3 linked regions of the Drosophila melanogaster genome follow. The protein of the gene in region 1 purifies or fractionates together with the protein of each later gene. This does not show direct contact. Each region holds a gene or a part of one and is shown in the gene's direction. Other genes may lie near its edges.

What was found. Proteins that work in one complex are often made in the same cells at the same time.
Region 2: the proteins of betaCOP (region 1) and PCB purify together in Drosophila melanogaster (affinity purification with mass spectrometry, with the first as the bait; one large-scale study listed by BioGRID). This does not show direct contact.
Region 3: the proteins of betaCOP (region 1) and CCT8 purify together in Drosophila melanogaster (affinity purification with mass spectrometry, with the first as the bait; one large-scale study listed by BioGRID). This does not show direct contact.

What each region holds. Positions count from the first base shown.
Region 1 is NC_004354.4:18,381,019-18,386,832, reverse strand, and holds betaCOP (coat protein (coatomer) beta), read left to right. Parts: upstream 1-1,590; 5' UTR 1,591-1,739; coding exon 1,740-3,370; intron 3,371-3,574; coding exon 3,575-4,230; intron 4,231-4,289; coding exon 4,290-4,451; intron 4,452-4,519; coding exon 4,520-4,793; intron 4,794-4,863; coding exon 4,864-4,969; intron 4,970-5,059; coding exon 5,060-5,125; 3' UTR 5,126-5,284; downstream 5,285-5,814. Other genes in the region: CG6179 (uncharacterized protein), read right to left, coding at 5,600-5,671, 5,734-5,814. UniProt on the Drosophila melanogaster protein: The coatomer is a cytosolic protein complex that binds to dilysine motifs and reversibly associates with Golgi non-clathrin-coated vesicles, which further mediate biosynthetic protein transport from the ER, via the Golgi up to the trans Golgi network.
Region 2 is NT_033778.4:9,858,529-9,863,307, reverse strand, and holds the start of PCB (pyruvate carboxylase), read left to right. Parts: upstream 1-1,764; 5' UTR 1,765-1,857; exon of another isoform or gene 1,858-2,163; intron 2,164-2,548; exon of another isoform or gene 2,549-2,938; intron 2,939-4,779.
Region 3 is NT_033778.4:8,904,329-8,908,760, reverse strand, and holds CCT8 (chaperonin containing TCP1 subunit 8), read left to right. Parts: upstream 1-1,770; 5' UTR 1,771-1,848; coding exon 1,849-1,908; intron 1,909-2,087; coding exon 2,088-3,118; intron 3,119-3,182; coding exon 3,183-3,732; 3' UTR 3,733-3,917; downstream 3,918-4,432. Other genes in the region: CG30349 (uncharacterized protein), read right to left, coding at 1-226, 282-811, 865-1,170.

The sequences.
Region 1 (5,814 bases):
TTTTTCATCATTCATTTGCATTTGCATTCATCTAATGATTCGGCTACTTTAAATTCACTCTTCTTGGAAGTAAACAAATTAAGAGTAATTGCCTTTTATTTATACACTCCGAGGGGATATTTTTTGAATTTTTAATTGGACGCATAACTACGATCTTGAGATGGCCAATTTGAAAAGTGCAAGTATTTATTATGATAATTTAAATGATTGCACTGCGTTTAGATAATTTGCAAGCAAAATCTAGATTTATATGTTATGCGAAATTGTTTTATATTCCTAAAAATGCAGGGGATAAACTTCGAGTGGATAAACTTGGAGCTCATTTAAGCTTCTGCAAAAAGTGAGAGTATGCGCTATTCGCATATCACTCACATTCGCTTTCGCACTCGTCTCTAGTTTTATATACTTCAATTTCGCCCCGCTATCAGGGCATTTGTTTATTCAGGCCGGGCACAGAACCTGTTCCACGATGGGATCAGATCACCTAGCTAGTCACCCGCACCGGCTCGTTGCAGTAAGAGCAACGAAGAGGAGCTGTGGAGAACTGTCCACATCCAGCAGAGAATTGACGAACTGCTTAAAATGCAGGCCGTGCCTCCTCCTTTGAGGGAGGGGGCGTGGCTGGGCAATGAGTCGCGGGGGCGGCAATTGAATGATGAAGTGCAAAACGAGATCACAATGGCAAATGCCGTGGGACTTGGGACGTGGGCGTGGGCGGGGATCTTTCTAGTGGAATCGAAACCAGAAACCGAATTAGATTGCTTGGCAGTGCCGCAGATGCAAACACACACACTTCGCACTGGGCAAGGTCAAGAGCCCCGGAGCGGTCGGGAATTTACCCGGATCGCAATGGGTTGGGGATTTTTCCGAGTAGTCCGAGGTGGCCTCTTATCAGCAGTCCTCTGGCACGGAGGCTATCTGCAGCCAGGTAATAGAAGGGAGGTAATGGAGCTACGCCCAGCACAAAGTGTGTTTGTCAGCGCAAAAGCTTCGTTGCATTATTTAACCGCACGGAAAAGGCATTCATCAGGGAAATTGTATGCGATAAAAATGAAGCACTGCTACTCACTTATTTTAAGTACAAATTGCAAATCGAATGGCATTTTTGAAACAGTGATACTTACTATTTTAAATAAAAGTATATAACAAAATAATATTTTGTTAAATGTGTTATATATGAAATGAAAAATTCATTAGCTTTAACTTAATGTAGAATAATTTGTTTATAACACTTTTCATTTTTTACATTTTTGGCATGCATTTACATAGTTACATAGCATTTCAAACTGCAGTTATGGCGCGAAAAAGACACTGTAACTTAACAGCACTCGCTCTGTAGATGCAAGCACTGCAATGCAAGTAAATTTCCAGCTATACATTTGTGGAGCTTAAGTGCATCTGCTTTTTGTACATTCTAATGTTAAACTTGTTGAACTAAAAAATGATAAGAATGATAAATAACAATCAAATAACAAAACGTTTGAAAAGCGCGCCAAGTGCGCTCAACAGCCCGCTGTTAGCCGAAGCGGTTGCTGGCCGGCGGTGTGCGTCCCCGCTAGAGCACTGCGCAGCCCTGGCAGCACTCGCGTGGCATTTCCGCACGGCGCCGCGCACGGTCACACCCTGTTAGCATTGTGACACGTCGGAAAGACCAAAAAAAAACTGAATTTGGAAATTAGGAAATAAGTTGGTCAATTGGCATTATCGGGATAAACAGGCGAACGGAATAGGCAGCCACGATGACGTCGCAAGTGCCGTGCTACACGATAATCAACTCGCCGGACCTGGAGGTGACCAACGAGATGCAACTGAAGCGCGATCTCGAAAAGGGCGACACGAACGTGAAGATCGAGACGCTGAAGCGGGTAATCAAGTTGCTGCTGAATGGGGAGCGGTATCCGGGCCTGATCATGACCATCATACGCTTCGTCCTGCCGGTGCAGAACCACACGATCAAGAAGCTGCTGCTCATCTTCTGGGAAATTGTGCCGAAGACATCGGCGGATGGGAAGCTGCTGCAGGAGATGATACTGGTGTGCGATGCGTACAGGAAGGATTTGCAGCATCCCAATGAGTTTCTGCGCGGCTCGACACTGCGCTTCCTCTGCAAGCTGAAGGAGCCGGAGCTGCTGGAGCCACTGATGCCGGCCATACGGGCGTGCCTGGATCACCGGCACTCGTATGTGCGACGAAATGCCGTGCTGGCCATCTTTACCATCTACAAGAACTTCGATTGGCTGGTGCCCGATGGGCCGGAGCTGATTGCCAGCTTCCTGGACACGCAGCAGGACATGAGCTGCAAGCGCAACGCCTTCCTTATGCTACTGCATGCGGACCAGGAGCGAGCGCTCAACTATCTGGCCAGTTGCATCGATCAGGTGCACACTTTCGGCGATATACTGCAGCTGGTCATCGTGGAGCTGATCTATAAGGTGTGCCATGCCAATCCCGCCGAGCGTTCGCGGTTCATACGCTGCATCTACAACCTGCTGAACTCCAGCTCGAATGCGGTGCGTTACGAGTCCGCTGGCACATTGATTACGCTCTCGCTGGCGCCCACGGCCATCAAGGCGGCGGCCAGTTGCTACATCGAACTGGTGGTCAAGGAGAGCGACAACAACGTCAAGCTAATCGTGCTCGATCGCCTGGTGGCCATGAAGGAGCACGAGGGCATGGAGAAGGTGATGCAGGATCTGGTGATGGACGTTCTGCGCGTCCTGGCCGCACCAGACATCGAGGTGCGCAGGAAAACACTCGCGCTGGCCCTGGACTTGGTCTATTCGCGTAATATTGGCGAAATGGTGCTGGTCCTCAAGAAGGAGGTGGCCAAGACGCACAATGTGGAGCACGAGGACACTGGCAAGTACAGGCAGCTGCTCGTCCGCACCCTGCACACCTGCTCCATCAAGTTTCCCGATGTGGCCGCCAATGTTATACCCGTACTGGTTGAATTCCTCTCGGATACCAACGAACTTGCCGCCGCCGATGTGCTTATCTTCATACGCGAAGCCATCCAAAAGTTCCCCGCCCTGCGCGCCCTCATCATTGAGCATTTAATTGAGGCCTTCCCGCAGATTAAGTCCTCCAAAATTCATCGCGCCGCCGTTTGGATTTTGGGTGAATACGTGGAGGGCTCGCAAATCCTGGAGGTGATTGCCGTCATTCAGCAGACGCTGGGCGAAGTGCCCATGGTGGAGGCGGAGCAGCGTCGCTTGGCCGGCGACCAGACCGAGGAGCAGAAGCAGCAGCAGGGATCCGCAGGCGGCAATGCAGCTGGATCCGCCGCAGAGGGCTCTGGCTCCGGAAACGCCAGCAACAAGGTCACCTCCGATGGAACCTATGCCACCCAGAGTGCCTACAGTCTGGCCCCGTAAGTAATGGCTACGTGTACGTATATCATGCCACCAATGAGGCATTCGAGGCTTGTGGCATTGCATCAGCTTGCACTGATAAGTATGCCTCTAGCTAGACATGCCCATTATCTATTGTTCGGCAATGAGTCATCTTAATACGTAGCACCTACAAAATAGTTGTTTGCAGTTCTGATTCTAACGCTGGTTAATGCTTTCTGCAGGGTGGCCAAGGCGGAGAAACGTCCGCCATTGCGTCAGTACTTGATGGACGGCGACTTCTTCATCGGCGCCGCTCTATCCGCCACGTTGACCAAGCTGGCACTGCGCTACGCAGAGCTGGAGACGGAGGCGCGTGCCCAGAATCGTCTGACCACGCAGGTAATGCTGATCATGAGCTCGATACTGCACCTGGGCAAGTCCGGTTTCCCTAGCAAGCCCATAACCAACGATGACACCGATCGCATCTTCGTCTGCCTGCGCACGCTGAGCGAACGCACGCCGGAGGCTATCTCCGTCTTCACACTGTACTGCCGCGAGGCTCTGGGCAAGATGCTGGATGCGCAGCACGACGAGGACCAGCGCATGTTGAAGGAGAAGCAGAAGGCCACCGCCAAGGTGCAGCCGGACGATCCGGTGCTCTTTGCACAGCTCTCGAACGGACGTGACAATCAGCTGGGCGAGAATGTGTTCGAATCCAGTCTGAACCAGGCGTTGGCCGGCAGCAAGAACGCCCAGCTGAGCGACGTGGCCTCGCCGAACAGCAAGCTCAACAAGGTCACCCAACTGACTGGCTTCTCGGATCCCGTCTATGCGGAGGCCTACGTCAATGTCAATCAGTACGATATTGTCCTGGACGTGCTGATCGTCAACCAGACCAGTGAGTAGTGCATCTTTAGGCGAAAGGGCATCGCTTTCAATCCATGAAATCACTTTCAGACGACACGCTACAGAACTGCACACTGGAGTTGGCCACATTGGGCGATCTTAAGCTGGTGGAGCGCCCGCATCCAGTGGTCCTGGCTCCGCACGACTTCTGCAATATCAAGGCCAACGTAAAGGTCTCCTCCACAGAGAACGGCATCATCTTCGGCAATATTGGTGAGTTGCTAATTGCGGAATTCGCTGTTAAAGTGCACTCACGCTCACTTATGGCGCTTAACCAACAGTTTACGAAACCGCCCTGAACACGAATGTGGTGGTCCTCAATACCATTCACATCGACATCATGGACTACATAATTCCGGCCAGCTGCACGGACACCGAGTTCCGTCAAATGTGGCAGGACTTCGAGTGGGAGAACAAGGTCACCGTCAACACCAGCTTCACCGACCTGCACGAATATCTCAAGCACCTGCTGAAGAGCACCAACATGAAGTGCCTCACGCCGGAGAAGGCGCTGTCCGGCCAGTGCGGCTTCATGGCCGCCAACATGTACGCCAAGTGAGTGTCCAGCTGTCCACTATGGAGTAGCCATCATATTCTCATCACAACTCATCCGCTCACTTTGCAGGTCCATTTTCGGAGAGAATGCCTTGGCCAATCTGAGTATCGAGAAGCCCGTCGATGATCCCGATTCGAAGGTGACGGGACACATACGCATTCGCGCCAAGAGTCAGGTGAGAGTCGAGCACAAACCAGCCGCACATCTGCACATGGTCATGCGCAACTTTCTAATCCGTATTCCGTATTTCGCGCCTTTCACACAGGGCATGGCCTTGAGTCTGGGCGACAAGATCAGCTCCTCGCAGAAGCAGTCGGTGCAGGCGGCCTAGTGGACGTGGAACTGGACGTGGACGACCAGCCACCAGCAGGAGCGACGTATCTAGACGACGTACTCGGCCACCTGCCCGCATTCCGCCAGCTGCAGCTTCTTCAATTTACATTACACGTTACAATTATACATAAAGAATATAATATTATACCTTAACCCCAAGATTGGCAGTGGTTTCATTTGACGGGGCTGTTTCCATAGAAATTCGGACTACTGGTTAATTGGTTGTGTGGTACGAGTATCAGTGTATTTATTTTGTTTTTTCCTATTTAACAATAAGTATGTATGCACTTCGTCTTGCAATAAACGAAAAGGTAGAATTGGAACAGATAAAATACCCAAGTTTTGTATAAGTTATGATACACAATTGTTTTAAAATCTGGAGAAATAATTGATTGTTTAAACTAGCTAGTGCTAAAACGATTACATTTCTATTGAAGTGCTCCCAAGTAGCTGGCGGCTATATAAATTCGTCTTAGGCCTGGAGCATGGGCCGTTTTTCCTTGGCCTGGAGGTGGTCGTTCGTCGTTGCGTAGCCAGTGCCGCCCTGTGAAATAGTCGAGAAACCTTAGCAATGCAGAATAGTTGCACAGTTCGCGATGTACTTACTCGCTGCAGGGGAATGATGTCCTTCTCCTTGAGCTTGCGATCCGTGAGCGGATGGATCATGTCCTTTCTGATCAGCCGTTC
Region 2 (4,779 bases), on another chromosome or scaffold:
AATTGGTTTTGGCAAAAATCTGAAAATGTAACTAAAAACATTCCCTTTAGGTAAGTGTTACCGTTTCAATAAAGGTTATATCGTATGGGTATATGGTTTTAATAATAGATTACTTGAAGGTCGCAGCGATCAGCCTTTTACTTCACATTTGTCATATATCAAACCCAATATGAAGTAGTATCAACTTTGGACTTTGATAAATTTATTCTTAAAAATTAATTAACTGTCTTTTTCTTATCACAGTACTTGTTTTTTTATCCTTAGAACGAAATTCATAAGTTATAGTCCAAGGCTCTTAATTATTATGGTTTCGTACCGCAAAAAAACTTGTGGTTAAAAGGCTTGATAATTTAACACATTGGCATATTTAAACCATAAATCGGAGGAGTTAAATCAAACCAAAACGTTATCATTGTCAGCATGAGAAAGTTCAAGTACCAAAATAAGCGGCACGTGTATAATACTGTTTTGGCTTTGACACCTTAAACGCAGCGACTAACGAATACTCTTCTTCGAACATAACCAATAGTAATCTTGTATCGACCTATAGGCACCATAGAAGAGTGTAATCCCCACGAAGGCAGAGTATTAAAGTTTAATTCCCGCCTTTGGAGCTGATAAGATATGGTACGTCCAGTAATTGGGAATGACTGGCCGGTTTTGCACCATTGGCCTGATAGCTTATAAAAGATTTCCATTCAGACGGAGGCGTGGCCCTCTTATCAGCTCACCAATACGCTAAAATCGCCCAGCAGCGTGTGGAATCTTTTTGGAGGTGGTAGTTAATCCAATAGGTTGATAGATTTCTTCAATCTTATCTCCAAGCTTTAATGGTTTTCAATTGCTTCTTTGGTAGCAAAGTTTATTGAAATGAGGAGCCTTCGAGATAGATTGGCAAATATATATATTATAAACATGAGATCGAAATAAATAATCGATTATAAGCCCCACTAGCACATTCTTTCGGCCGCAGATACCCTACACTTCCTCAGTGCAGCATTATCGGGCATACGATAGTACATATATCTATATCTGTATTTTACACATATATGTATGTTTATGTTTCTGCCGACGCTCATACACAACATCATTCTTGTTGGCCCCTTTTTGATTCTTTCTGTCTGGTGATAAGACTGCCCAGGTTTGTTATGGCCACAATCGCGCGTGCCGCAATATAAAAATAAAAATCTCAAAACCACCGATATACACGTGTCTACCTATATATATATACGCCATACACATATACACACCGGCAAGATCAGTTTTTTAGCGAGGGAGCGCGAGAATCTGCTCACTGAGCCGATGATACTGGCGATAATTGGGAGCGTAGGCGGGCTCCCGCTCCTCTCTTCTCCTCTTCTCTCCTCTCACTCACTCGTATCAGCGCCAGATCTGGACATCCATTGGGAGTCGTACGATTCCTCTGACTCGTAGACCCACCGGCTGTTCATATAATAAGTTCCACGCGTCCGATCCCGACGCCCAGACCATTCGAATTCACTTCACTGTTGCGACACAGCGAAGCAACAACAAGCTCATAATGTTCTGAAAGTTTCCACGAGCATAATAGATCCATATCAGGGTTGTTTCGTTTCCATTTTTCATCCGTGGGCATTGTGGAAACAAAGAAGTATATCCTATTATAATATATTATGAAAATAAAGGATTTAATTGCAAGGACATGTAAAAGGAATCTTAGCGATTAGACATCATTAAGAAGGTTACTTTATTTTCAGTAGGCTATTTTCATTCGATTATTCATCAGTCATAATCAAAATTTTAAGTTTCAAATTATCTTATGGCCGCCTTTTATAAATTACAGCTCTTCTAAATTATCTTTATGGTACGAAAAGTCAAGTAAGTCTATAAAATTTGGTGGAGTTTTCAGGCTTTCGAGACCTGTGCCATTTTGGGGCTCGGTGCACAGCTGTTGCTCTCTCCGCCCGCCTTCCCCTCTCTCCTCCTCCAAGGAACCAATGTCAAAAGAAAGTTCTCCGGTGCGACCGGCAAAAACAGCTTTGCGCTAGGCCAAAGTTCGTTGATGTTCCAGTCTCTTTACTGGGTGACATTGGGGTATATCAGATCCGTGCTAAGTGGGTAACAGCTAGATGAAAGCCTTAGTGATTTCCATACGAATTTCATAGTGTCATTTTAAACTTAGCCTTTCAATGTGTTGGATTAGAAGTGAGGCAAATAAAGATGCAATTCTGAGATTATAATATATAATTAATATATAAATATACTTTGTATAACTCAACTATCCTATGGAGATATTAATTGGGTATAGTTAGATTTTACGATTTATTACATGAAATGCCCACAATTCGTTAGCCAGATTTGATATGTTAGCTTTGGTAGCTAAGAGGTATCATAGATTCGATCCGCCCATTTCTATCGAGAACAAATCATTGCCGGCAGGGAGCACGCGCAGACATCGAAACTGCGAGAGGAGCCTCACAGATTGGGAGAGAACGTTAATGTTCCCATTGAAACCACCACGACCACTCTCCCACGGAACTAGTCGAAAGTTTCGAGTTTGTGCGCTCGACCAGTCCGACGGACAGCTTTGAAGTGAACGGTTCGCGAGTTCCTGGGCAGAAGAGAGAATCAGAGTGCAGCAGAGCAACCGTTTGCGAATTCGCGCTGTTCTACCTACATAGACCAAAACCAAACCAATTCCAAGCAAACCAAACCAAACGCAACCCCGAGACCAAACGCAAAAAAAAGAGGCCGGCAAGTTGACAAAACCTCGCGCACATAGGATACATAGGAACCGTGAATTTGTATGTGCTGAGCGCGGTACATAAGCTAAAGAAACCACGTTGACTCACGACCCGTTTGAAATTGTTTTGTAGTGCTGGAGCAGCGATTACCCACTTTGCGCCAGGACAACGACAATAGGCGCAGAGCGCTCCTTCGGAACTTTCGCCATCAATAAGTAAGTCGCCGGTCGGTCGGCGGACTGCGTCTATCGATCAAGTGCATAGCCATTTAATTGCATAATTTGTGCTCAATTTCTTCTTCCACTCGGTTCGGCTGGTTTCTTTCCCCAGCCCTTTCTCGCCGTCCAACCATTGTAATTTGCCATCGTCACTCTCTGGCAGACATGTGTTAATTACATTTTATTCTATTCTATTCCATACCATGCCATACCATGCCATACCGCACCATACCATGTCGTAGCGTAGCATACCCCCATGCCCCCAAACACACACCCGTGCGATAGACACCATCCCAGAGAGGGAAATGTGGCTGTTTTATTTTCGGACTCATCCTACTTGCTGCCCAATATTTATGACCTTCTTATGGTTTCGCCATTGGGGAAACGTGTTTGTCGCACATAGATCCATAATCTATACGTAGTGTGCGCGATTACTCGGAAATTATCTACATATCGTGTGCAGTGTGATCAGGGATTGCGAACGGGGGTGATCCGAAATTTAACCAGTTTATGGGCACAGTTTGATTTGTTTGATTGCTATTGATTCGCCGGGACCGACAGGCCGTCACATATACTTGTATGGAGAGCTGGACCCGGACTAGTCAATGTCAAAGCTTCGTCTCTATCAGCTTTTCGTTTGGCGTGATAAGGTCTAGAGTCTAGACAGGCTGCTCAAGTAAATATAAGGTTTTCGAACGAATGTAAGATCTCTGTAACTTTTGCTGGCAAAGAGAGAGTTTTGTTAAAAAATAGAAGATCCTGGGCGACACGAGTTAATGGCCATAGACTTAATTTTCTAGCGAAAATATAATATAAAAAATAGAAGATCCTGGGCGTTCCATCTCCTTATCAATCATTGCTATTTATAGTTTTTCTTTTTAGTTCAGAATGCGGATTATATAACTTCACATCTGGAACTGAAATACTGAATGCAGTTTAAGAAAACAACTAGTAATCGGAAGTAGAAAAGTCCATCTATTCTTATTCTCACATTTTGGCGACAAAATCAATGTACGACCTACATTCAAAAGCGACTTTGACCTTAGCAGCTTGTCGTTCAAGATCATACGTTTGTGGAGCAAGAAAAATAAATAAAAATAAAATCATAGCACGCACATTTTCCTGTGCAAAAGTTGGTGAACAAAAGCAAAGCGTTCAAGTGACTGGGGCATTCCAGTACTATTAGTGTGTAGTTAGTTGGCTATCATGTTATTATTACATAATCGCCCATTCCGATGGGCAAACACAATCGGGCTTCGGGTGGGTTTTGGCTGAGTTTTGGTTGGGTTTTCGTATGCCGTGTCAACAACGTTTTCGTGTAATTGCATGAGATTGGCCCTGACAGCGCCCACTTTTCTTTCAGAAAATATGAGGCAACACACCCAGTCAACAAGCAACAGGATAATTGATAGCCTGCAAATATTGCCAGAAATACAGCACAAAAAAAGGTGCTGAAGCTATCCCAGAAATACCTGAAATAAACCCTGATTTGCATGCGAAAATACGTGTTATTTTCACATCATGCTAACCAATTGTAGACATGCATTCTTCACTTTATTCCGATGCTAATGCGCTTTAATTTTTAAATACAGCAGGGGAGCCAGTGATCCGGTCTTCAAATAGTTTAAATTCTAATTGAAACGTAAATAGATATAGATTCTTTATCGCAGATCGATATTTAAATTATTTATTGAAAATCCTTTTCATTCTTACGAAAGCGATAGGAGAAAAGCTTCCGATTATAATTTCCGCTTGCGGCTAAGATTAGATTTGCCACGTTTCACAGATACCAGTTTCAAAACTTTTATTAACCTAAAAATAAAGATTATTTCTAAACA
Region 3 (4,432 bases), on another chromosome or scaffold:
TTTGGGATCGGCGCGCACAATAACGTTTAGTTTCTCGCCATAGTTGGGCGTAAAACGTTCAAACTGCAGCTGTTGGCGACTTCCGTAGCCAAAGAGGATTTCGTGGGAGCGATTTGAGTCTGTCACAAAGTGGGCCGCCACGGCTAGAAGTGGTTCCACTGTTTCGGCGCCATCGGAAACGATCTGCAGCGAAACCTTGGGCTTCACAAACTTCTCTGCGGATAAACTGTGAAACATAGTACTTCAGTACGAGTGACAAAACGTGTATTCACATGACCCACCTGTTCACATTCAACAGGTAAATGTGTATGATGCCATTGCGGGTAACACTGGCCACACGTAGCTGACCATCGTCGCGCACTTCGCTGGTTAGACAGTAGGCCAAGTCCTCCATGAGGAGCGTGCAGGCGGAGGCTTTGTTCTTGCCCTTCTTGTCGATCTTCCAGAAGCAGATTACGCGCTCCATCTTCGCGGTGGTCAAAACGAATTCAGTGCCATCTGTGCTCGCCACGCTGCTGATTGTGTTTATTTCGCCCGAGTGGCCGGTGAACGTTTCCACCAGCTCCTTTGTCTTGATATCGTACACCTTCAGCTGTCGGTAGCCAATGGCCAAGGTGCCACTTTTCTGAAGGTAGACTATATTTTGGGGCTTCTCGGGTCCCACTTGCCATTCGGCGATGGAGCGCTCGTCCGTCAAGGACCAAACAACAACCCTACAATCGGCACCCACAGTGTATAGGTGGCCAGCGTTGTCATTTGTAATTGAGGTCACTGGTCCATCATGGCTGTCGCCACTGAGCGTTCGAGAAATCTGCAAGGATTGCTTGTGGTTTATTCGCCTTCAAGGCTCTTTGTCCGACTCACCTTTCCCTCGGCTAATGAGTATATAACCACTGAGCCCTTGTACGTTCCCAGAGCAATGTGAAGCTGATCACCGGCTGCATCCTGTGCCTGGAGGCTCTTCCGCGACTTCTTGGGCCGGGAACCGGCCACCAAAACCCACGTGAGAGCTGTGCACGACCCGGATAACTGTAGATTGGGCGTAAACTCCTGATACAGCGTGTTCGTCTCTGTGTTCCATATCCGCAGAACTCCCGACTCGTCCACCGAGGCAAATAGTTGGCCACCATTGGGCGAAAATCCCAACACGTGCTTCTTGCCCAGCGACATCGTTTTTTATGTTTTGAATTAGAGATGGGCGCTAAGGCTAGTGTTTACATCGGCTCACACTCGTCGCACTTAATGCAATCTATCACGCAAATGTCACGCACGACTCACGATTGAATTGCATTTACCGACGTTTCCTATACCCTTGAAAGATTTATCAAATTATATGCAAACAAAATTCATCGAGTGAACAATATAATAAACCAATGGGAATGTGAATTTTTTAAATAAACTTTTCAGTTTTTAAATTAAATAATAAAATATTTTACTCTAATTGTTTTAAAATTTCCTCAAAACTTAAAATGAGTAAATTCTTTTGCAACTGTAAATATTACTTATTTGGAGTAACTTATATACATTATCCTGGATTATTTAAGTAAATGCGTTCAAAGACCAAGAAATAAACTCGATTTACAGGATTCTTTGGGGCGTAAACTCCACTGCTGAACTATATTGTTAATTGCATGCTATTCATCATAAACCATTGAGAATCGTTACCTTATTGAAAAAGATCAATTCAAATGTAAAATAAAAATAAAATAGCGCCAGTCACCGTTTACGATAATCGATAGGCAAGTGCCATCGCTATCCCATCCAGAATGTTCGCGGCCACTTTGAGGTTATAACTATAGCTGGAATTTACCGACTGACTCCGTGTGAAATTGAAATCTGTGTTAAAAAATGGCTTTATCCGTTCCCAAGGCTCCCGGTGTGTCGCAGATGCTGAAGGATGGCGCCCGGGTAAGTGCAACAAGGAGGAATAACTCTGCGAGGAGTCCGCCGGGCATCGGTTTCATTGAGATTCGGCTTAAAAGAAAACATGCCGTCTTGCGGAGGCGCGTGATTAGTCATCCTCATGGAACGGGGCTCGACATATGAAAGAAAAATGACTAATTTAATGGCTTTACTTGTGTCCTCAGATGTACAGTGGGCTGGAGGAGGCGGTGTTCCGCAACATCAGCGCCTGCAAGGAGTTTGCACAGACCATGCGCTCTGCCTATGGGCCAAATGGCATGAACAAGATGATCATCAATCACATCGAGAAGCAGTTCGTGACCAGCGATGCCGGCACCATCATGCGGGAGCTGGATGTTGAGCATCCAGCCGCCAAGTTGATCGTCATGGCCAGCCAGATGCAGGATGCCGAGGTGGGCGATGGTACAAACTTCGTGGTGGTGCTGGCCGGAGCTCTGTTGGAGTCCGCTGAGGAGCTGCTGCGTCTAGGAATCACCACTGCCGAGATCTCCGACGGCTATGAAAAGGCCTTGGAGAAGGCTCTGGAGATTCTGCCCAATCTGGTGAGCCACAAGATCGAGGACTATCGCAATGTGGAGAAGGTCAAGGAGGTACTCCGCACATCGATCATGTCGAAGCAGTACGGCCAGGAGGACTTCCTCAACGATTTGGTGAGCAAGGCCTGCGTCTCCATCTTGCCGGATGAGGGCACCTTCAACGTGGACAACATTCGCATCTGTAAGATCTTGGGCAGCGGACTGACCAAGTCTGAGGTGGTTCGCGGCATGGTCTTCAAGCGCTTCGTAGAAGGCGATGTGACCTATGCAGAGAAGGCCAAGATCGTGATTTTCTCCTGCCCCGTCGATATTATCCAAACTGAGACCAAGGGCACAGTGCTGATCAAGTCGGCCGACGAGCTATTGAGCTTTTCCTCCGGCGAAGAGAGCCTGTTGGAGAGCCAGATCAAGGCTATCGCCGACGCAGGTGTCAAGGTGGTTGTGGCCGGCGGCAAGGTTGGCGACATGGCTCTGCACTTCCTTAACAAATACGGTCTGATGGCCGTGCGTCTCAACTCTAAGTTCGACCTGCGTCGCCTGAGCCGATCCGTAAACGCCACTGTCCTGCCGCGCATCACCACGCCCAGTCAGGAGGAGTTGGGCTACTGCGACAAAGTTTGCATCGAGGAACTGGGAGACACCACAATTGTGGCCTTCAGGTGGGATTTTCAATGGAATTAGCGAGAGAAAATACCATTATAATTTCTTATTGAATCATTGCAGGAACGAGGGCAAGGACTCGCGCATTGCCACCGTGGTGATCCGTGGAGCTACCGACAACTTCATGGATGACATTGAGCGTGCCCTGGATGACGCTATTAACAACTTCAAGTGCCTGACCCGGGATGGCCGCTATCTGCCCGGAGCTGGCGCCACCGAGATCGAGTTGGCCACCCAGCTGTCCGCCTATGCTGATACTCTGCCTGGTCTGGACCAGTACGCCGTGCGCAAGTTCGCTAATGCGCTGGAAGTTTTCCCCAAGGCTCTGGCCGAGAACTCCGGCATCAATGGCACGGAAATCGTCAACCAGTTGTATTTGGCCCACAACAACGAGGCCGGAAAGACAATCGGCTTCGACATTGAGGCCGAGAAGGCCAGCACCATCGACACAACGAAGGCAAAGCTCTTCGATCTGTACCAGTCCAAGTTCTGGGGTCTCAAGTACGCTGTTGGCGCGGCCGCAACCATCTTGAAGGTGGACCAGATCATCATGGCCAAGCGCGCCGGAGGTCCCAAGGTGCGACAGGCTGCCGGCAGCGATGACGAGAGTTAAGCGGCTCCTCTGTGATTCGTACTCCCTACTATAACTAGTTTCTCCCGCTCCCACAAAGAGTGCATTGTATTTTCATAAACGAGTCCCATGGAAATTATAAATTTCATTAACCACTCTCACACTCACCCACATACACAGCCATGCACACAGTTTCTTGTATTAATAAACTTAACTTACGAAAACTGAACTGAAACGCGTGATCCTTCGGGGGCCTTTGAAATAAAACAACGTGGTTTTCGCACCGAACCCGGTGCCACCGCTAGATAACGAATCTAAGTAAGTTATCGCTTTTTATTTTTGAAATTTAAGCAAACGATTATTCATTTTGTTGAGTACAATATTTCAAATGCTTATTCGCAGATACATTTCAATAATATTTGTGAGGACTCGTCCCCGTTTGCATCGCAAAAGAGTTGTATTAATTTTCGAATAAAATACGATCTCGTTGTCGCTTTTCATTTGAAGTGAAAGGTGTTAAAGTGTATTCGATGACCATGATTGATTTTGAGTACGTGTGCATCTAATGCCCTTCCTTTCCAAATGCGATTTACCCTCTATGGATAAGTTATAGAAAATGACACATCTGAGGACGAAACCAAACCATCCGTGCTCCATTGGGTGGTTCGGCTGTCCTCGGGCTAATAACATTCAGGGATAACTAAAAAGTTTGGATGCAAAGTGTCCGTTGGATCGAAAACTG